Linked DNA regions of Rattus norvegicus. The protein of the gene in region 2 purifies or fractionates together with the protein of the main gene of each other region. This does not show direct contact. Links are inferred from orthologs where the notes say so. Each region holds a gene or a part of one and is shown on either strand. Other genes may lie near its edges.

What was found.
Region 1: the proteins of Hnrnpa0 (region 2) and Dhx9 purify together in Homo sapiens (affinity purification with mass spectrometry; 3 studies listed by BioGRID and IntAct, with this or other methods). This does not show direct contact. The link is inferred for Rattus norvegicus from reciprocal best matches to the Homo sapiens genes HNRNPA0 and DHX9.

The regions. Positions count from the first base shown.
Region 1 is NC_086031.1:68,173,914-68,182,710, forward strand, and holds part of Dhx9 (ATP-dependent RNA helicase A), read right to left. Parts: intron 7,067-8,797; coding exon 6,952-7,066; intron 4,946-6,951; coding exon 4,827-4,945; intron 4,428-4,826; coding exon 4,279-4,427; intron 2,856-4,278; exon of another isoform or gene 2,716-2,855; intron 1,993-2,715; coding exon 1,946-1,992; intron 1-1,945. UniProt on the Homo sapiens protein: Multifunctional ATP-dependent nucleic acid helicase that unwinds DNA and RNA in a 3' to 5' direction and that plays important roles in many processes, such as DNA replication, transcriptional activation, post-transcriptional RNA regulation, mRNA translation and RNA-mediated gene silencing.
Region 2 is NC_086035.1:6,508,562-6,517,458, reverse strand, and holds Hnrnpa0 (heterogeneous nuclear ribonucleoprotein A0), read right to left. Parts: upstream 4,331-8,897; 5' UTR 4,091-4,330; coding exon 3,167-4,090; 3' UTR 1,673-3,166; downstream 1-1,672. UniProt on the Homo sapiens protein: mRNA-binding component of ribonucleosomes. Specifically binds AU-rich element (ARE)-containing mRNAs. Involved in post-transcriptional regulation of cytokines mRNAs.

The DNA.
Region 1 (8,797 bases), on a different chromosome or scaffold from region 2:
GGTTATATACATCAAAGTTTTCCATAGACTGATAAGTATTTTTGTTAAATACTTTACAAAGTATTTCAGGCCATTCTTCCAACTCTCCCAATCAAATGAATTGAGCCACTGTTATATGGTATGAATTACATAAAGTAAGAGTCTGTCAGTTAAACAGATACAGAGATACCCCCTTTTTACCCTAACATACCTGACAGGTCTTAATCTTAGTCCTCAAAAAATAAAGAACATAGGCACCATTCTCAGCCTATCGTTTTCCATGGATGACTTCTATTCTGTTTTCTCAGGGTTAATGACCTCATGGTTTTTGTTTGGTTGTTTTGAGAGAGTCTAGTGTAGCCAAATCATAGCCTCCAAGAAGGGTGGTTTTTGTTTTTTTGGTGGCTGTTTTAAGACAGGGAGTATTTCACAGTATTCTGAATTGCTGCTCTCACAGCCCGGACACTTTTCTGATTCTCCTGCATCATCTCCCAGGGCTAGGCCTGTACCTCCTTCCCTAGCTTATAACATACTTTGGAATCAACCCCAGGCCCCAGAAATTTATGCAAATAACTGCCAACTAAGTATAAGCCGCCAGTCCTCATACTTAAAAATTTTGTTTTTTGGTTTGTTTCATAGAAAATATGTACATTCAGGGCCAACAAAATCTGAACTCACTACCATTGAGACACAACATGAAAAGAACAATGTTTGCACATTATACTGATATAAAGCACAAGAACTTGTTCATCATAGGCAAAGCACCTCGGCTTGTTTTGTGGTACAGGGGACCAAACTCCATAGCCTTCAAGTAATCAGTCTACTAATCTCCTAAATCCATCTCACCTATTTGCTTTCTCAGACTATCCTTAAACCTTTTGGGGGGTTTTCTGTTTGTTTTGTTGCTCCAGACAGGGTTTCCTCTACGTAGTGCAGGGTGTCTTAGATTTCACTTTGTAAACTAGGCTGGCACCCTCCTCTGCCTCCACCTCCTGAATTACAGGATTGTTCCACCACCACCCAGCATCTTGTTTTTTAAAACAAGGTTTCAGGGGCTGGAGAGATGGCTCAGCGGTTAAGAGCACCGGACTGCTATTTCAGAGGTCATGAGTTCAATTCCCAGCAACCACATGGTGGCTCACAACCATCTGTAAAGAGATCCGATGCCCTCTTCTGGTGTATCTGAAGACAGCTACAGTGTACTTATATATAATAAATAAATAAATCTTTAAAAAAAAAAAAAAAAAAAACAAGGTTTCAGTCCGTAACCCAGACTAGACTGGAGTTTATGGGCTGTCCTCCTTATACCTTAGCGATCCATACAGTGCATACTTGCACTTAAACCCACGCCTAGCTTTGACTGCACTCTCATGCTGCTAAACAGCTATCTTTAGGCCTTTAATGCTATTACCCAATCCAACTTGTGTTAAATTCCATTTTCCTATTTTAACTCCAAACTTGAATCCTTCATGATTTGACCACTAAAATATTACTGTAGAATCTTTTACATATGCAAATTGGGAGATAAAACCTGTGAAAAAATTAGTAATATTCTAACATTAATATTTCAGGTACTACTGAGACCTAAAACTTGCTACCTCAATAGATTTTTCAGCATATTTCAAGATCTAGACCAGTTAGTTACCACAGGTTGTGACAGCTGCTTATTAGGACAAAGGACTATCCACTGTACACCTCTTTGTCTCAACTTTCCCTAGGCCTGCTAACACCTTCCCCTCCTTCACTTGACAGTATTAATAACTCCTCCAACCCTATGTGTTACTCAATCTATTCTTTCACATTAATTTTTTTCAACTTATGTAAATGCCAAGATTGTCTTCATGGAAAATTTTATAACTACTTCTACACTGTTACATGTTCTACCATAGTAGCCCAAGCCTTCAGTGTAAAAATATTTCTGCAAAAATGTTTAATAAGAGTATTTTTAAAAAGTAATTACACTTACTTCTGCCCAACTGCTTGATATAAATGGTCATTTCTGCAATAAAGCTCCTGTAACAACACATACAATCAAAGTTAGGAATTGACCACTGTAAATTACTCCATTATCTCCCTAGTCAGGGAGGGTTTTCCAACTGCATTAGATAAGACATTACAGCAAAAACCATTTTGAACACTTATTTTTGTCCAGTCCTAGAACAGAAAGTATGTAAACTGCAAATATATAGGACATTAGTTATAAAGCAGCTGATGAGCTTTCTTTCATGAAAAAAAAGTTATGGTTTTAGATTATAGATTTACTTATTTTTACTCCAAGGCTCGTGTCTCAATATAAGAATGCTTTCAATGAAAGAAGATTGCTTATCTTGGAGAGCTAAGAAAAACACCAAACTCCTCAAAAGTATCTATGTATATATACTAATTTACAACTGCAACTTATTAGGGTAGTTTACACATGCAACCACTATATACCAGTAGCTCCTGTGGCAGAGTTCAAATTATCTCAAGCTGGAAGAAGTCCTTGGTTACAAAAAAATTTAGCCTACTTTTTTAAGATACTTAAATCAGGGCCTAGAGGACAAAAGTCATTTTCACATTATAGATAGCTAAAACTGCTAGCAGGCCCTAGGAGTAAATATAGGTTTTAGGGTTTTATGCTGGTCCTTTACTGCTCGGGCACACTCAAACTTGGCTTTGTGCTGTGAATAAAAGTTTAGGTGAAACTTAAGGAAAAAGATAAGTTAGGTTCCTTCCTAAACTTCTTTGTCAACTGACCTTCAGGCACAAGGGCTTCAAGGGGGGTCAAAGGCCACTGGCTTTCAGGGGAACAACATCCACCCTTTCATTAATGACACCGATGACAGTATGTTTCTCAGCCAGGCTTAAAGTCAGCACTCAATCTCATTCTCCTCCACCTAGGGGGGAACAGCAACACCAGAAATCAGTTTACAATAGTTTCCCATGTGATTGCTTAGTTCAGCCTAAGCATCAGCACATGTGTATATGAACACAGACCTCTGGTGTTGCTGTCTGTTATGCCTTTCAATAAAGGACATACAGGAGCAATGTGTCCCAGCTCCAACTGTCTGCCTCTTACATTGTCTTGTCCCGAATTCTTTGTTTTACATCAGAAATCAGTAAGATACTGACATCAAATGTTGGTGGTTTTTTTCTGGGGGGAGGGCAGCAATTCAAAATAATAGTAGTAGTGGTAACATTGATGTTGGAAATTTGAGCTCAAGGCCTCATGCATGCTATGCAAACATTCCACTCCTGTGCTCCAGCCTTTCACTTATTCTTAAAAAAAGAAAAACCACCAGGAGCTGCCAAGTGCAGTAAGTTGTAGACAAAGCATTAAAGGAAATGGTGTCTTTTTACAGCCTGGAGTTTTGTTTTTAAAATTATGACACCAAAATGGAGAACGATCTTAAAAATATAACACTAAGTATGTAGTATTTGAGAATTCAGGACTGAACAAAGCAGTAGGAAGCAGGAGGAGCCATGCTCTCATCATTTTGAATATGTTGTCAATTTGTTTTTTGTTTTGGGTAATGATAATTTTAGGGTTGCTACTTGCACCCAAGGGAGAACACTTTAATTTCAGAAAAATGTTTTAAATTTATTTTGGATAATTTATTTTTTATAATTAAAGACAGCAAATCGAATCGTTATTTTCCAGAACCACTTCCTTTTCTCTTCCAATAATAATGCAGTGCCTCCCTGAAGAATCTAATCTGTATGAGCCTTCCTGGGAGTAATAAGTACTACACCCTGGAATGCTCTTAGGAAGAACATCAAGCAGGCTGAGAAACATACGGTCACATTATCTTCCCTTACATTGTTTTATAAGCTTAACAGGAAAAAAAGGCATTCTATTTAAACCATACATAAGAACTTCGCGATCCTTTAACTTCATAGTACTCAAGTAACAGGATTCTTAAAAGAGCTGTCAACATTAAACCGAGGTCAAATTTGGATGTATAGGTAATACATACAATCTACTTCTAAGACAACAAAACACTGCAGAACCATTTAAGTATTTAAAGCTATCACCAATAAAACTACACTGGGGAGAAAAAAATCACCACCTCTGACCAATTAAGTCAACAACTAGCAAACGACCACTGTAGATATTAACTGGCATCAAAGTCCAGCAACAGACCTTTTGCAGGACTTCTTATAGAATAGCATTACATTCTTAAGCAAAAGTTATGGTAAACTATAGTTATATATCTTTTCACAATTCACTGCTGCTGCACAGAATTAACTGAGGAACACTTAGTAAACAAAGTCAAATCACCTTAATTTTTTACAAGGAAAATAGTGAAACAAGCAAACCTGTTGTGGTCGGGACCCACTTGGGTGTACTTATATTCTCCTTGGATTTTTTCTTTTTGGAAATACTGGTTCAGACGAGCCTTAGCATTTTCCAAAGTCCAGTTTCCATGAAGCCCAGCATTTAAATCCACTTCTTCTGACTCTAGAGTCTGTAGAATCAATGATGATTAAATTTGGCTGCGCTACTTATATGTACATAAGGAATACTAAATAACATACAGCTTTTTTCAATATAAAACTACATTTTTGTAGTGCTGAGATCCAGGGGTTTGAACATGGCTAGACAACCACTTTATCACTGAGCCTGTATTTTTGAGATAGGACATCACTATGTTCTTAGAACCCTATAGTCCAGCCTGGTCTTGAGCTAGTCATTCTCCTGACCCTAATGCTGAGACTACAAGATGTACACCAGGCTAGATCTAACAACTAGTAAAATAGGCTATTAAGCTAGGGCCACTGGAATGAAGACCAGACTGGGATTCAAGATTGTCTCAAAATGTGTAAGTAATCCCACTTTCAAGCATGTACTACATGAGACTGCTTACCGCTTGCACCTCTTGCTCTTCCTTTCTTGAGTAGTAATCCTTTAAGTTGGCTCCTCGGTCCCAGGTGGGTCCAGGAGAACCATAGCCAGATGAAGACTCAACTCCAGAATTATTTTCTGCTTAAAAAAAAAATTGCTCTTTTAATTATCAAGTTTGGGGGTGGGGGAGCTACATCTACATATTTTAAAGATTATCCCTAATGACAATTTGACACTCCATGTTTGGATACATGTTTTCAATAATCTGGAAGGACGTCTAAACTAATGAGAACTATGCTGATCAGCCTTATTTCTTTGCGTGTGTCTATGTCTATGCATGTGGAGGCCATAGTATAATCTCCACAAAACAGACAAGTAGGTTAGTCTGATAGTTAATGTTAACTGGTAACTTTACTCCAAATCCCCTGGTAGTATGGTCTGTTAGAGAGAAAGAAGATAGACCTGTCCACTATAAATGCTTCGTTACTTGGACAGTAAAAACAGAAACTGAAACTAACAGTTAACAGCACAAATTCATTGCACTCTGCAAGGTGACCAACTGCTTCAAGTTTCTGTCACCTTGAATCTTGTCATGAACTATGAAGCAGAATAAATAAGTCCTTTCACTGGACTTTTTTTCCTTCACAGAACAGTAAAATACATTAAGGTACCTAGCCGGCCAGCCATCTTTCTCACAGACCCATCTGATTGCACATTGTGGATGCTGGTGGGTATAGAACATAACTCCTTATGCTTGGTTGTCTCTTTCTCCTCAGCACTAACATGTACTTTTAAGGCGCTTAGTTGTCTTTATATTCAGAATAACAAACTAAGGACAAAATTATCCAGCTAGGAAATGTCTAGCTGGCAAAGGTATCAGCCTGATTCTGAGTTTGTATGCTGAATGGGTTTTGCCCTGGCTATAAAGGGGCCTCAAACACAAGAATATGGAAACACGCAGGGGAGGTTAGTCTGTCTCTATATTATGTAGCTCTGGCTGTAGCTCTGGTATGTAGACCAGAACACCTTTGAACTCAAGAGATATTTGCTTCTGCCTCCCAAGTGCTAGAGTTAAAGGTCCATGCCACCATGTTTGGCCCAATAAATCTTTTTTAAAGTAAAATGTTCTTTGGAGATGCTGGGAATGAAGGTCGGTTAATACAATCAATGCTCGTTTACAAACCAAGCAAGCACTGGGTTTAACCCTCACCACAGAATAACAACACTCGTGTGATGAACATGACTGAAGCCCAGTTTTGGGGAGAGAGAAACAGAAGGATCTAAAAGTTCAAGTTCGTTCTCCAAATTACAGCCTAAATAGAAACAAAAACCCCAAACCTAATAAAGATTCTGAAATGAAAGCTAATCCCAGGACTATTAATTAGTAGCCCCTAGAAGTTTTGACTCTTTGTAAAACTAGAGTGGGGTGCTCAAGAGATGGTTCAGCAGTTAAGAGCACTGAGGACTGAGATGCAGTAGCCATGAAGGTTCCGGTTAGCACCAATTGTAGGGAGTGGTATCCCCTTGTGGCCTCCCCAGGTACTGCAGGCAAACACCAATATGCATCAACTCCATAGTGACAGGTTTTTTTTTTTTTTTGGTTCTTTTTTTTGGAGCTAGGGACCGAACCCAGGGCCTTGCGCTTCCTAGGCAAGCGCTCTACCACTGAGCTAAATCCCCAACCCCGTGACAGGTTATTATTACAGCTTTGTGTTATTGCTCAACTTTTACTAGACAAAGCAATGGGATAGATGCTGTAAATTGTTTCAGTATTAGTAAGTCAAAATCTTACTCTAATCCAAATAAAAATTTCAGCAGGGCTAGAATCTACAAATCCTATTACAAGTAGGAAAAAACAAAAGGTTACATATTAGATACCACAGGGTATCTTATATATGCAAAGCCCTAAATCTGACACACAGGAACATAAACACAAAAAAAGACAACTCACAAAATTCTTTAACCCACTTAGTGCCCAGAAGTATTGCAGGTAAACACCTATAAAACTTAAATCTCTTATAATAAACTCAAACAGTGGCTGCTTAAGTGGGATGATCTAATAAACATGTTTATTGACAAATGGTGAGATGGATGATCAAACATGATTGTGTTATTCTCAGTCAAGCAGACATATTCAAGTCCCTTACCTGCTTTGAGAGCCAGATGAGGAGGAAGTGGTCCTCCCATGGGTGGTGGTAAGCCTTCTCCAGTACTTGCTGTGCTATCAGATGTGTCACTAAGTATGGGTGGGGGTGGTACAATCTACAAGAGAAAACGTCAAATGTCAGTACTTGGGCTTTTTTAATTTTTATTTGCAGAATAACAAGACTCAAGATTACTCAAAGATGCCCATATATTAAACATCCTTCCACATAGTATTTTTTTCATCTCTGGTTTAGTGTGAAAACCAAGTTTCACATAACTAAAGAATGATACTGGAACCCACCCCCACTTGCTGGTATCCTAAGTGCATGCTACACCCTGGCTTTCACTATTGGTTTGTTTCCTTAGTATCCGAACATTGTTTTTAAAGATTTATTTATTTATTTTATGTATAAGAGTAGATTGCCGGGGTTGGGGATTTAGCTCAGTGGTAGAGCGCTTGCCTAGGAAGCCCAAGGCCCTGGGTTCGGTCCCCAGCTCCGAAAAAAAGAACCAAAAAAAAAAAGTACATTGCCGCTATCTTCAGACACACCAGAAGAGGGCATCAGATCTCATTACAGATGGCTATAAGACACCATGTGGTTGCTGGGATTTGAACTCAAGACCTCTGGAAGAGCAGTCAGTGCTCTGATCCACTGAGCCATCTGTCCAGCCCAAATGTGTAGCCCAGGCTGGCTTCGAACTCGTGATCCTCCTGCCTCTGCCTCCTTCAGCAAATCTTACTAGTGTGTGCCACCACAACCGGTTGAACATTTTTTAAAGGATGTACAATATATCCTCCCCCCCCAAGATTTATTATGTATACAGCATTCTGCCTGCATGTACACCTATATACCAGAAGAAGAGGGCACCAGATCTCATTACAGATGGTTATGAGCCACCATGTGGTTGCTGGAAATTGAACTCAGGACACCTCTGGAAGAACAGTCAGTCAGTGAATGATCTTAACTGCTAAGAGATCTTTCCACCCTCATGCTGTTTGTATTACTTTATATTATATGCACAAGCCACTATACCCAGCATTAACTTTTATTAAAAACTGGTTGGTGCTGGATATAAAAATTTAAGGGTCTGGCACATACTAAACAAACACTACCACTGTACTCATTATCCAATGAGATTTTAAAATTCTGAAAGTTAAATAACCATGGTGTTAAATATAAATTTGACTTCACAAAAATTTAGCTTTTGAACTATGTATAAAAAGGGTGTGTGCATGTTAAGTGTGAGAACCCTTAAAAGACTAGACATATCAGATCCCCTGGAGCTGATCATAGAAGGTTGTGACCCACCACATGGATGCTAGGAACCAAACCTGGACTAAGCCATCTTTCCAAAACTAGATATATTTTATGAAGTCATTTTTATTTCTGCTAATTCTACTATTTCTGGTTTTATCTTTACAATTTTTTTCTTGCCCCACTCTTTTTCAGTTTTGAGCAGCAAGGACACCTGTGCACTTAGAAAGCTTTCTTACCTGAGCACAGCAGTCCCATCACTTGGGACACTAGACAACAATCACGAATTCAAAACCAGCCTGGACTATCAGTGAGTTAAAGTCAACCTTAAGAAAAGTTTTAAGAATCATCTTAAAGGAGTAAGAAAGCAGCCAGGAGCAGTAATGCACATGTTCAACTCTAGTAATCACAAAGAGGTGAATTCCTGCAAGAAACATACTGTTTAAAAAAAAAAAAAAAAGGTGGGAGGGAGAAAAAAATTTAAAAAAATTAAAAAAAATTAAATCTGTGTTGAGTATGGTAAAGCATCCCTTTACTTCCAGGACTAGAAGGCATGATCAGCAGGATAGCTGTAAATTTGAAGTCATTCCAA
Region 2 (8,897 bases):
TTTTCCCTATCACACTGACGCTGGAATTGGAAGAAACTTTCAAGTGTGGATGTTACCCAGGTCACACCCACATACTAGCTACAGGCAGGCAGTGCTCGAACCCACCCACACTCCCAAGTACACTTCCAATTAGCAGACACGTAGACAGCAACCTGAAATACAAGTGATCCAAACCAAAACTGTAAGCAACAAGGTCTACAAATCCACAGACCTGTGGTCTTGAGGGAAGGAATCCTAAATTCCAAATTCTCAGCCAACCTCTGTCTCTTTCCTAAAAACGAGAATCCACATTAGGATTTAAGCATGTGCACATTCAAGTCATACTTGATAGCACTTTATGACCTAAATCACTTTTAAACTCTAAAGATTTGGAATTCTGGGGTCTGGAGATGGCTCAGCTTTTGAAGAGGACCCCCCCCCCCCCCCACATCTGGCAACCTATAGTCCAGCTCCAGACTCTGAGCTCTGCAGGAACCTGCACTCGCACACACATTCCCCTTTTTTCAAAAGTACACTTAAAAAGATCCTATTACCATCTTTTTTTTGGCCACCTTTTTTTTTTTTTTTCTTCAGAGCTGGGGACCGAACCCAGGGCCTTGCGCTCGCTAGGCATCCTATTACCATCTTTAAAGATGTCCATCAAATATGGCTCAGCTGGTAAAGGAACTCAGATCCCCAGACCCAGCCAACAGGAGAGTGGACTCCAAAGCGTCCTCCTGCCTCCACAGGTGCTGGGTGAAAGGCACACGCTCACACACAAACCAATGTAAGGATCTTCCACACTATTAACTAATAATTACCTTACAACTTACACTCTGGAAAAATCAGCAAACATTCAGGCATGACAAACTATACTCAAAGGACTCTTATCACCACCTCCTGTCCTCCAAGTTCTCACCGGTGAAGCAAGACATCACAGTTGTCTACCCATTTAAAACACGCTACGTGCCAAAGGCTGGCTAGGGGAACACAGGAAGTGCCTACAAAAACATTACCATCTTCCTTTCACCGCCAACACTGATCTGTTAATAGACCTGGAACTGTGGGATCTTATGGAATTTTAAGTCATCCACTACCTTTTTACAAGTCACTTACTGAAAAACTGACCACCTCACATGTGACAATCTTCCACAATACCTAACAGCTCAGTTTTTTCATCAAATATAACCTTAAATCAGAGGTTAACGTGAGTTTTAGATCTTTTCCTGTACCCTAGAGGGATCCCAAAGAGCCTGCATTAGATCTTCAAGTGTAGTTTCAAGCAGGAATTTAAGGGAAGAATGGTGAAAAAGAAGTTCATGCAATTCTTACTTTCATGTGCAAACACACCCCTACACTGTCGACTGTTAAATTCTTGGACCGAGCATCAGCTATGGTTCACTGCACTGGGCAAACCAGCCTAACGTTGGCCCTCTCCTACCTTTGTAAGAGCCTTAGTAATTACAGTATTTTGGCTAGAGTCTGATCTTAGAAATTATAGAAAACTTAAAATGTGGAGGTTCCCACATAAAATATTTTAAAATGTGAAAAAAAAAAATCTTCCCAAAAGCTTGCTACTATAAGGCTTTGGGCTTTCAAACTGAGCCGGATTCTTACCATACCATTAAACCCAGCAAGTTAACTGGTACTCTGAACCCACCCACCAGGTTATACATACTCTCACTCGATCATGTAAGAATTGAAGTCTTTATTTGTGATATCCATAAACGTTGCTATTCTATGTTTCTATTCAGGAAGGCAATTTTCTCCTATTATCAGTGTTTGTTTTTTTTTTTATAAACAACAACTTGAATTCTATTGCATGAAGGGCTACAAATACACGTTAACCAAGCAGAATACAGATATTTTGTTTTACAACTTGCACCTAAAACCCCAGTACACACAGCTGCTTCAGTAGCTATCAGAGCAGTTTGGGGCTACTGCCCAAGCTATGCATAGCAGTTTACATATTCAAATCTCACGTAGAAAAGCGACTGATCACGGGCTGTTAACTACACTCCTGGGAAGCCCGTCTCAGCTACAAGTAAATGCGGACCTTTCAAGTCTGCAGACTTCTGGTGGCAAACTGCTAAATCTGATGAAATTGGTTTTTTTAAACCAACTTTCTTGCAGCTATACTGCCACTCTACCAGCAGATGGTGCTACATCGGTTGGACTTAAAAGGACAAAGTTCAGACTTAGGGAAGAAACGGTTTTTTTTAAACCTGCTCTGAAAATACATCTTAAAAAAACTCATTTAGTGTTAGGGTAAAATAGAACCCTTATTTGTAACCATTCATTACAGACAAACCAATAAGGGTGAAACTAGGTCATCTAAAAAAGTTTTAAACAGTTTATATGAATGAGAACACATGCTTTAAACACAAACTGTTTCTTTTAAAACTACACAGTACATATTTTGAGTAAATTCTCAGAGAAAGAAGAACCAACCATGTCAAGATGATAAGCAAACCGCTTATTACAGAGATGGATGCACAGAAACTGAACAGCCACATCCACCACTTCAAAACGTTTTGTCTGTAAAAGGTTAAATTCAACACATCACTAACTGGGCAAACAGGAAGGAGAAAAAAAAAAGAACCCACAAGACCTCCTTGAAGCTTCTCAAAGTACACATCAAAACCTAACAAAAATTTCCTTTAAAACGGTAAGGAGTGGATCCTAGAAAAAAAATGTTAGACATGTACGGTCAAACACAATGATTTATTAAAAATAAAACGTAAAAATGATTTTTGTACATATGCTTCCAAATTTCAGGCATGGGATCCAAGTAGGTTTCATAGAAAACGCTGTAGCCAGGTATCAAGTCCTTACAACAAAGTAAACTACCCTCCCACCCAACCCCCACCCCGGTTTTGCTACAGAATCAGCAAGTTCAGCCCCCCGCCCGCCGCCCCCCCAAAAAACACAAATTAAAACGAGACATCTTGCTAGTATAAAAACGACCAAGGTCCAAGTAATAATAAAAAAATAGAGTCCATCAATGACTGTAACACAAAAATGTGTGTGTGGGGCCGAGTCCACCTTCGGGGGGACGGGGACGGGCAGGCAAGCGGGGGTCGCGCCCCCCGGGGTGAGCGGCTCTCCCGGGGGCACCTGGGGTGGGCGCGGAGGGCGAGGGAGGCCGCGCCTGCCGCCGCCGCCGCTGGCATCCGGAACCCGGCTTCTAGAACGAGCCTCCGCCGTAGCCGCCGCCGCCGCCGCCGCCGTAGCCGCCTCTGTACGGTCCACTGTTGCTGCGGCCGCCCCAGCTGCCGCCGCCTCCGCCTCCGCCTCCGCCGCTCTTCATCGGCCCGTACGAGGACTGGTGCTGGCTGTAGCTGCCGAAGCCGCCGAAGCCGTTGCCGTAGTCGCTGCCGCCGTACGAGCCGCCGCCGCCGCCGCCCCCGTAGGCGCCGTAGCCCCCGTAGCCGCCGTAGCTGTTGTAGCCGCCGCCGCCGCCCTTGGCCAGCCCGTTCTGGTCTCGGCCGCCGCCGCCTCCCCCGCCGCCGCCGCGGCCCCGGCCGCCGCCGCGCCCGCCCCGGGCCGCCCGCGCGCCCCCGCCGCCCGCGTGGATATCCTCCTTGGGCACCGCCTTCTTCACCTCCACGCGGTGGCCCTGGATCGGGTGGAACTTGACCACCGCCGCCTTGTCGGCCGCGTCGTGGCTCTGGAAGTAGACGAAGCCGAAGCCGCGCTTCTTGCCGGACTGCTTGTCGGCGATGATCTCCGCCTTCTCCACGGCGCCGAACTGCGAGAAGTGCTCGATCAGGTCGCCCTCCGCCACGTCGCCCTTGAGGCCGCCCACGAACAGCTTCTTCACCTTGGCGTGGGCCCCGGGCCGCGCCGAATCCTCGCGCGACACGGCGCGCTTCAGCTCCACCGTGTTGCCGTCCACCGCGTGCGGCGACGCGGCCATGGCGGCGTCCGCCTCCTCCACGTTCGAGTAGGTCACGAAGCCGAAGCAGCGGGAGCGCTTCGTCTGGGGGTTCACCACCACCACGCAGTCCGTCAGCGTCCCGAAGGCCTCGAAGTGGCCGCGCAGCCCCGACTCACTCGTCTGCACGTTCAGGCCGCCGATGAACAGCTTGCACAGCTGCGAGTTCTCCATGTCGGACGCCCGGGCCCTGCCCCCGCCCTGCGCGCTCCGCGGCGTCGCCGTCGCCGTTAAGCGGTCGCCGAGGCCTCGTCAGAGCCCGGGCCCGGCCGCCGCCGCCGCCGGCGGGGAAGGGGCGGGAGGGGGAGGGAAGGGGCGCGCTGCCGGCCCGAGGGCGAGCCGAGGACGCTGGAACCCTACCAGGGCCGCCGCGGCCGCCACCTCCGCTCCCCTATCAGGACACCACACAAAGAGGCCGCTGAAGGCGCGCGCACCCTCCCCGCGCGGTGCGTCACCAGCGACGCCGGGCCGCCAGCCAATCGCCTCCGCGCTCGCCTTAGTCCCGCCTACCGCGCCGCAGCGCCGCTCTAGGCCGCGGCCTCCCCGCCCTCCGCGGTTTCCGTCCCGGCCTCGGGCTCCTTGGCGTCTGCCGCTTCTTCCGCCTCCACGCTCGCCCTCGACGCGGTGCTGCAGCACCCCGGAGACGGCCCGCCAAAGCCCTCCGCGCGCGTCCGCGGAGCGTTTCCTGTCAGCCGCGCGGCTGTTCCCGCAGCCTTCCCTCCCTCCCTTTGCCGGATCCCCAGGCCCAACTCCTCAGTGGCGTTCGCGCCAGCCCCTTGAGGGACGTGTCCGGATAGCCAATCAGCGACAGAACCTGGATCACACTTCCGTTTTCCGCCGCTGCGGGACGGGCGCGCACCTCTTGAGCGCTGGCCCGGCGCCTCCTGTGCGGAGCTGGCTGTCGCCCGCACGCCTCGTCCTCGCGCGCCCTCGCGGGAATTCTGGCCGTTCCCAACGGATCTGCCCGGGGCCCCGCGCGGGCTTTTTGAAAACTTGACTGTTGGGGCCGGCCCGCACCTGGCGTCAGCTCCCCTCGGGCGGCACAAAGATGGTGGGCCGAGGCCTGACCCCCCAAAGCGGTTATTGGCCGTTTACGGTGGGCTGGTGGCCCGGTTAAGCTAATGTGACTCTTGCCCCGTGCCACTCTGCTCGCCCAAGCGAGTCCGTGAGAAATTAACAACTCCAAAGCCCTTCAGGCCGGGTGACCCAGACAAGGCCCGAGCCCGGCCCGTGGTAGCGGCTAGCGATGCTCCGCCCTGTTCCTCTGCAGCAAACTCCTGCAGACATGTTCCGTGCGAGCCAGCCAGTGTTTAATCTGCCCCTTCTGAACGCTGCTACCTTTGAGACGGGCTTTATTCAGCCCAGGCTGACCTCGAACTCATGGGATATTAGCCCCCCCAAGCATGTTCTATGAAGTTTTCACATTTTTATTACGTTCTCACCACCATCCCTCCTGTGGTTTGGGAATATAAAGTCAGGGCTTCACGAATCAGAGTTGTGTCCCCAGCAACCCCTTTCCCGTTACTTTCCATCTTCCTCATTCGGGTGCACCTCTGTGCCCTGCTGCCAGCTTCGTGAACACATACAGCCATTTTACCAACTTTATTCAATATAGCTAGATTAAAAACTGTCGGGTACAGTGCTTAGTGTTCACAGACAAGATCTCGATTTCTACAGTGTCTCAGGGTTTCTCTTGCTGCAACGAAAACACCATGACCAAAAAGCAAGCTGGGAAGGAAAGGGTTTATTTGGTTTCCATCTCCCCTTCATAGTCCATCATTGGAGGAAGTCAGGAACTCAAGCAAGACTAGAACCAGGAGGGGGGGATGATGCTTACTGGCTCGATTCACATGGCTTGCTCGGCCTGCTTTCTTATAGAACACAGGACCACCAAGGATGGCACCCACCACCCAAAGTGAGCTAGGCCTTCCCCATTGATCAACTAGTTGAGAAAATGCCCTCTAGCCGAATTTCACGGCATTTCCTCAACTGAAGCTCCTTTCTCTCCGATGGCTCTTACCTTCTGTCAAGTTGACACACAAAATCAGCCAGTACATACAACAAGGAAAACGTGGGGCTCCCCCCCGCCCCCATTTTAAAATAAACTTGAGGGCTGAAGAGATGGCTCACTGGTTAGCAGCACTTGCTGTTTCCAGAGGACCTGAGTTCTGGTCAGTTCCCAGCACCCTGGTGAGAGCTTCCGCCCTAATGGAAGCTCTGGCCTCTGCACACACCCCTGCACTCATGTGCATATGCAGACACCCGCACCTATACATGATGTTTAAAACATTTTAAGTAATGGTTTTTAAGACCGTAGCTTTATTGCCCCAAAATTGTACGCCAGGATTGGATTCAAGCGGCAGGTCGGGTGGGGTGTGCATCACGGTGTTTGAACACGGGAGGGCTAAAATAGCACAGCAAGCAGAAAGTTCAAGGCAAGGAGCTGTTTGGTGTTCGTCTGGAGTTACAGATGATTTAAAGCCACCATGTGGGCGCCGGGAATCCAACCCGAGCAGCCAGTGCTGTTAACTTCTGAGTCATTTCTCTGGCCTCAGGTCTTTTTTTTTTTTTTTTTTTTTTAATCGATTTTGCCTTTTGACAGTTTATGATTATTCTCTCCCACCCGTGTCAACCCAGCTCTTCCTTATGGTCCCTTTCTCGGATTCATGCCGATTTTATTTTCCTGACCATTTAGTTTAACCAGGACTTTCTTTTGACTATTGAGTTGGACCTATGCACTGGAGCCTGGTGGGGCCACCTGTGAGTACACAAAGACAACAGCCCCCTCTTCTTGAATATGTCAGTGACAAATAGGTCCAAAGTGAGGGTAGGAACCCTCGAGTCCCTATGCCACCCCTGCCTCACTGCGTTTGAGCCAACTCTTGGGCAGACCTCAGGCGGGCATCCACAGCTGCTGTCAGTTGCGATTACAACAGCTGTGTGTGGACTAGAGGATGGTATTTTACAGTCCACACACCACACACACACACACACACACACACACACACACACACACACACACACCTTAGAAGGCATTCTACCAGATTATTATGGTGCTTGAGTAAACTCTTATTTTCTCCTACCCCAGAAGGGCCTTCCTTCCCATTGTGGTCTAGAGAGGGTGATGTAAGGAAGATGGTCAGACCCACATGGTGTGTCAGCCGAAAAACACTCCCATGCCGCCTTCCCTGCTATGGCAACAGTTGACCCACTGAAGTTTCCTTCTAGTGATCGTTGCTTACCCAGGTCTAGTTGTACAGCCTGACAGGGTAATTGGCTGAAAAGGAGCAGCAAGCAGCAGGGACACCCCAGGAAGCAGCACTCGGGGCCTTTGAAAGCCAACCTACCAGCCACTCGACAGCTGTAGTCACAGCACCTGCCAGTTAGGGGTGGCCAGCAGGGTGGGGGCAGCGGGAGGGAAGGCTGAGAATGAGGAAGAACAGGCTATCAGTAGCCACAGAGTAGGAAATACAGGCTCTGGTCACCAGAAGAGTCCCACAGCACTATCAAGTCTTCAAGGACACCCAGGCCCACAGCTGTAACACTGGGTGCTGTCACAGGCAGAGGGATCTCACGCCCTCAGCCCACATAGAGCTGTAGCACTTAAGTGACCTAAAGGGGTCCCCATATCTGAGGCCTTGGGAGGTGCCACCCACTGTGGCTCCCACCTCCTGCTGCCCAGGCTTCTTTCTCCTCCACCCCTTACAGTTCCTATACTGCTCAGTGCAGAAGGACCCTCCAGCCAGCTCGTCAACGGTGCTATAGCTGATCCTCCAGCGACAGTCGGAGCCGGGCTTCATACTCTAGTAATCAAAACTAGCGGTAAATGGCAAGGAGACAAGCCCAGAAGATCAAGGAGCTATCCTAATGGATACAAGATGATGCCCTGGTCTCCACTGTGTCTTGCAGATATCCACTGGAATCTTACCTTAGACCGGGGGTTCTCAACATGTAGGTCATGACCCACTTGGGGGTCATCCAAGACCATCGGGAAACATCACGATTCATAACAGTACCGAAAATACAGTTAAGAAGTAACAACAAAAATAATTTTGTGGGTTAGTGGGGTCACCACAACCTGTGGAACTGCATTAAAGTGTCATGGCATTAGGAAGGTTGAGAACCATTGCCTTAGACTAAGTATAACACTTAACCTTGCTGAATCTTTACAAGGATCGAAAAGGTTTTGTTGGGCAGCAATTTCCTCTGAGATAAAACCTTCCAACTTTGAGGGAAACTCCTTAAGACATCAGTAAAGGGCTGGAGAGATGGCTCAGCGGTTAAGAGCACTGGCTGCTCTTCCAGAGGTCCTGAGTTCAATTCCCAGCAACCACATGGTGGCTCACAACCATCTGTAATGGGATCTGATGCCCTCTTCTGGTGTGTCTGAAGACAGCTACAGTGTACACGTATAAATAAAATAAATAAATCTTTAAAAAAAAAAAAAAAAGACATCAGTGAAGCATTCAGTCCTGCAGGGAAGCCCCTTAAACTTGGAAGACAATAACTTCAGGAAGTCCCTGAAATCCACCAGATTCACCAGGCTCCGCCCTCCCCTGAGGACCTCAGAGGAAAAAGTGCTGCTGAGAAAGAGACTCAGGCTAGTGGAACTGCCTGGAAGACATGGTTTCCACAACTGCCTGCAAGTTGTGTGGTGAGGTCCAAGTTCCCAGTTTCCCTGAGCCGTCACCCACTCTGGGGTGGTCATTTGGGTGATGCAGCTGTCTTTGGGACAACTCCGCTTTGATAAGTAACCCCAATAAAATCCGCTGGTTCCCCAAATTGGTTGGACCTTGGTAGTATTCTTACCATGGTCTGTTGTTGGTTCCTTGTGCAGACTGAGTAGACATTTTCTCAGGGACGGCACCACACAACAGGTAAGTCCTATGCCAGCCTTTCACTGAAGAAACCAAGGCCATGACCACAGTCAGCTGCCCAAGCTTTGTACAGAAGAGTCAAGTCAAAGAAATACAGTAGACTG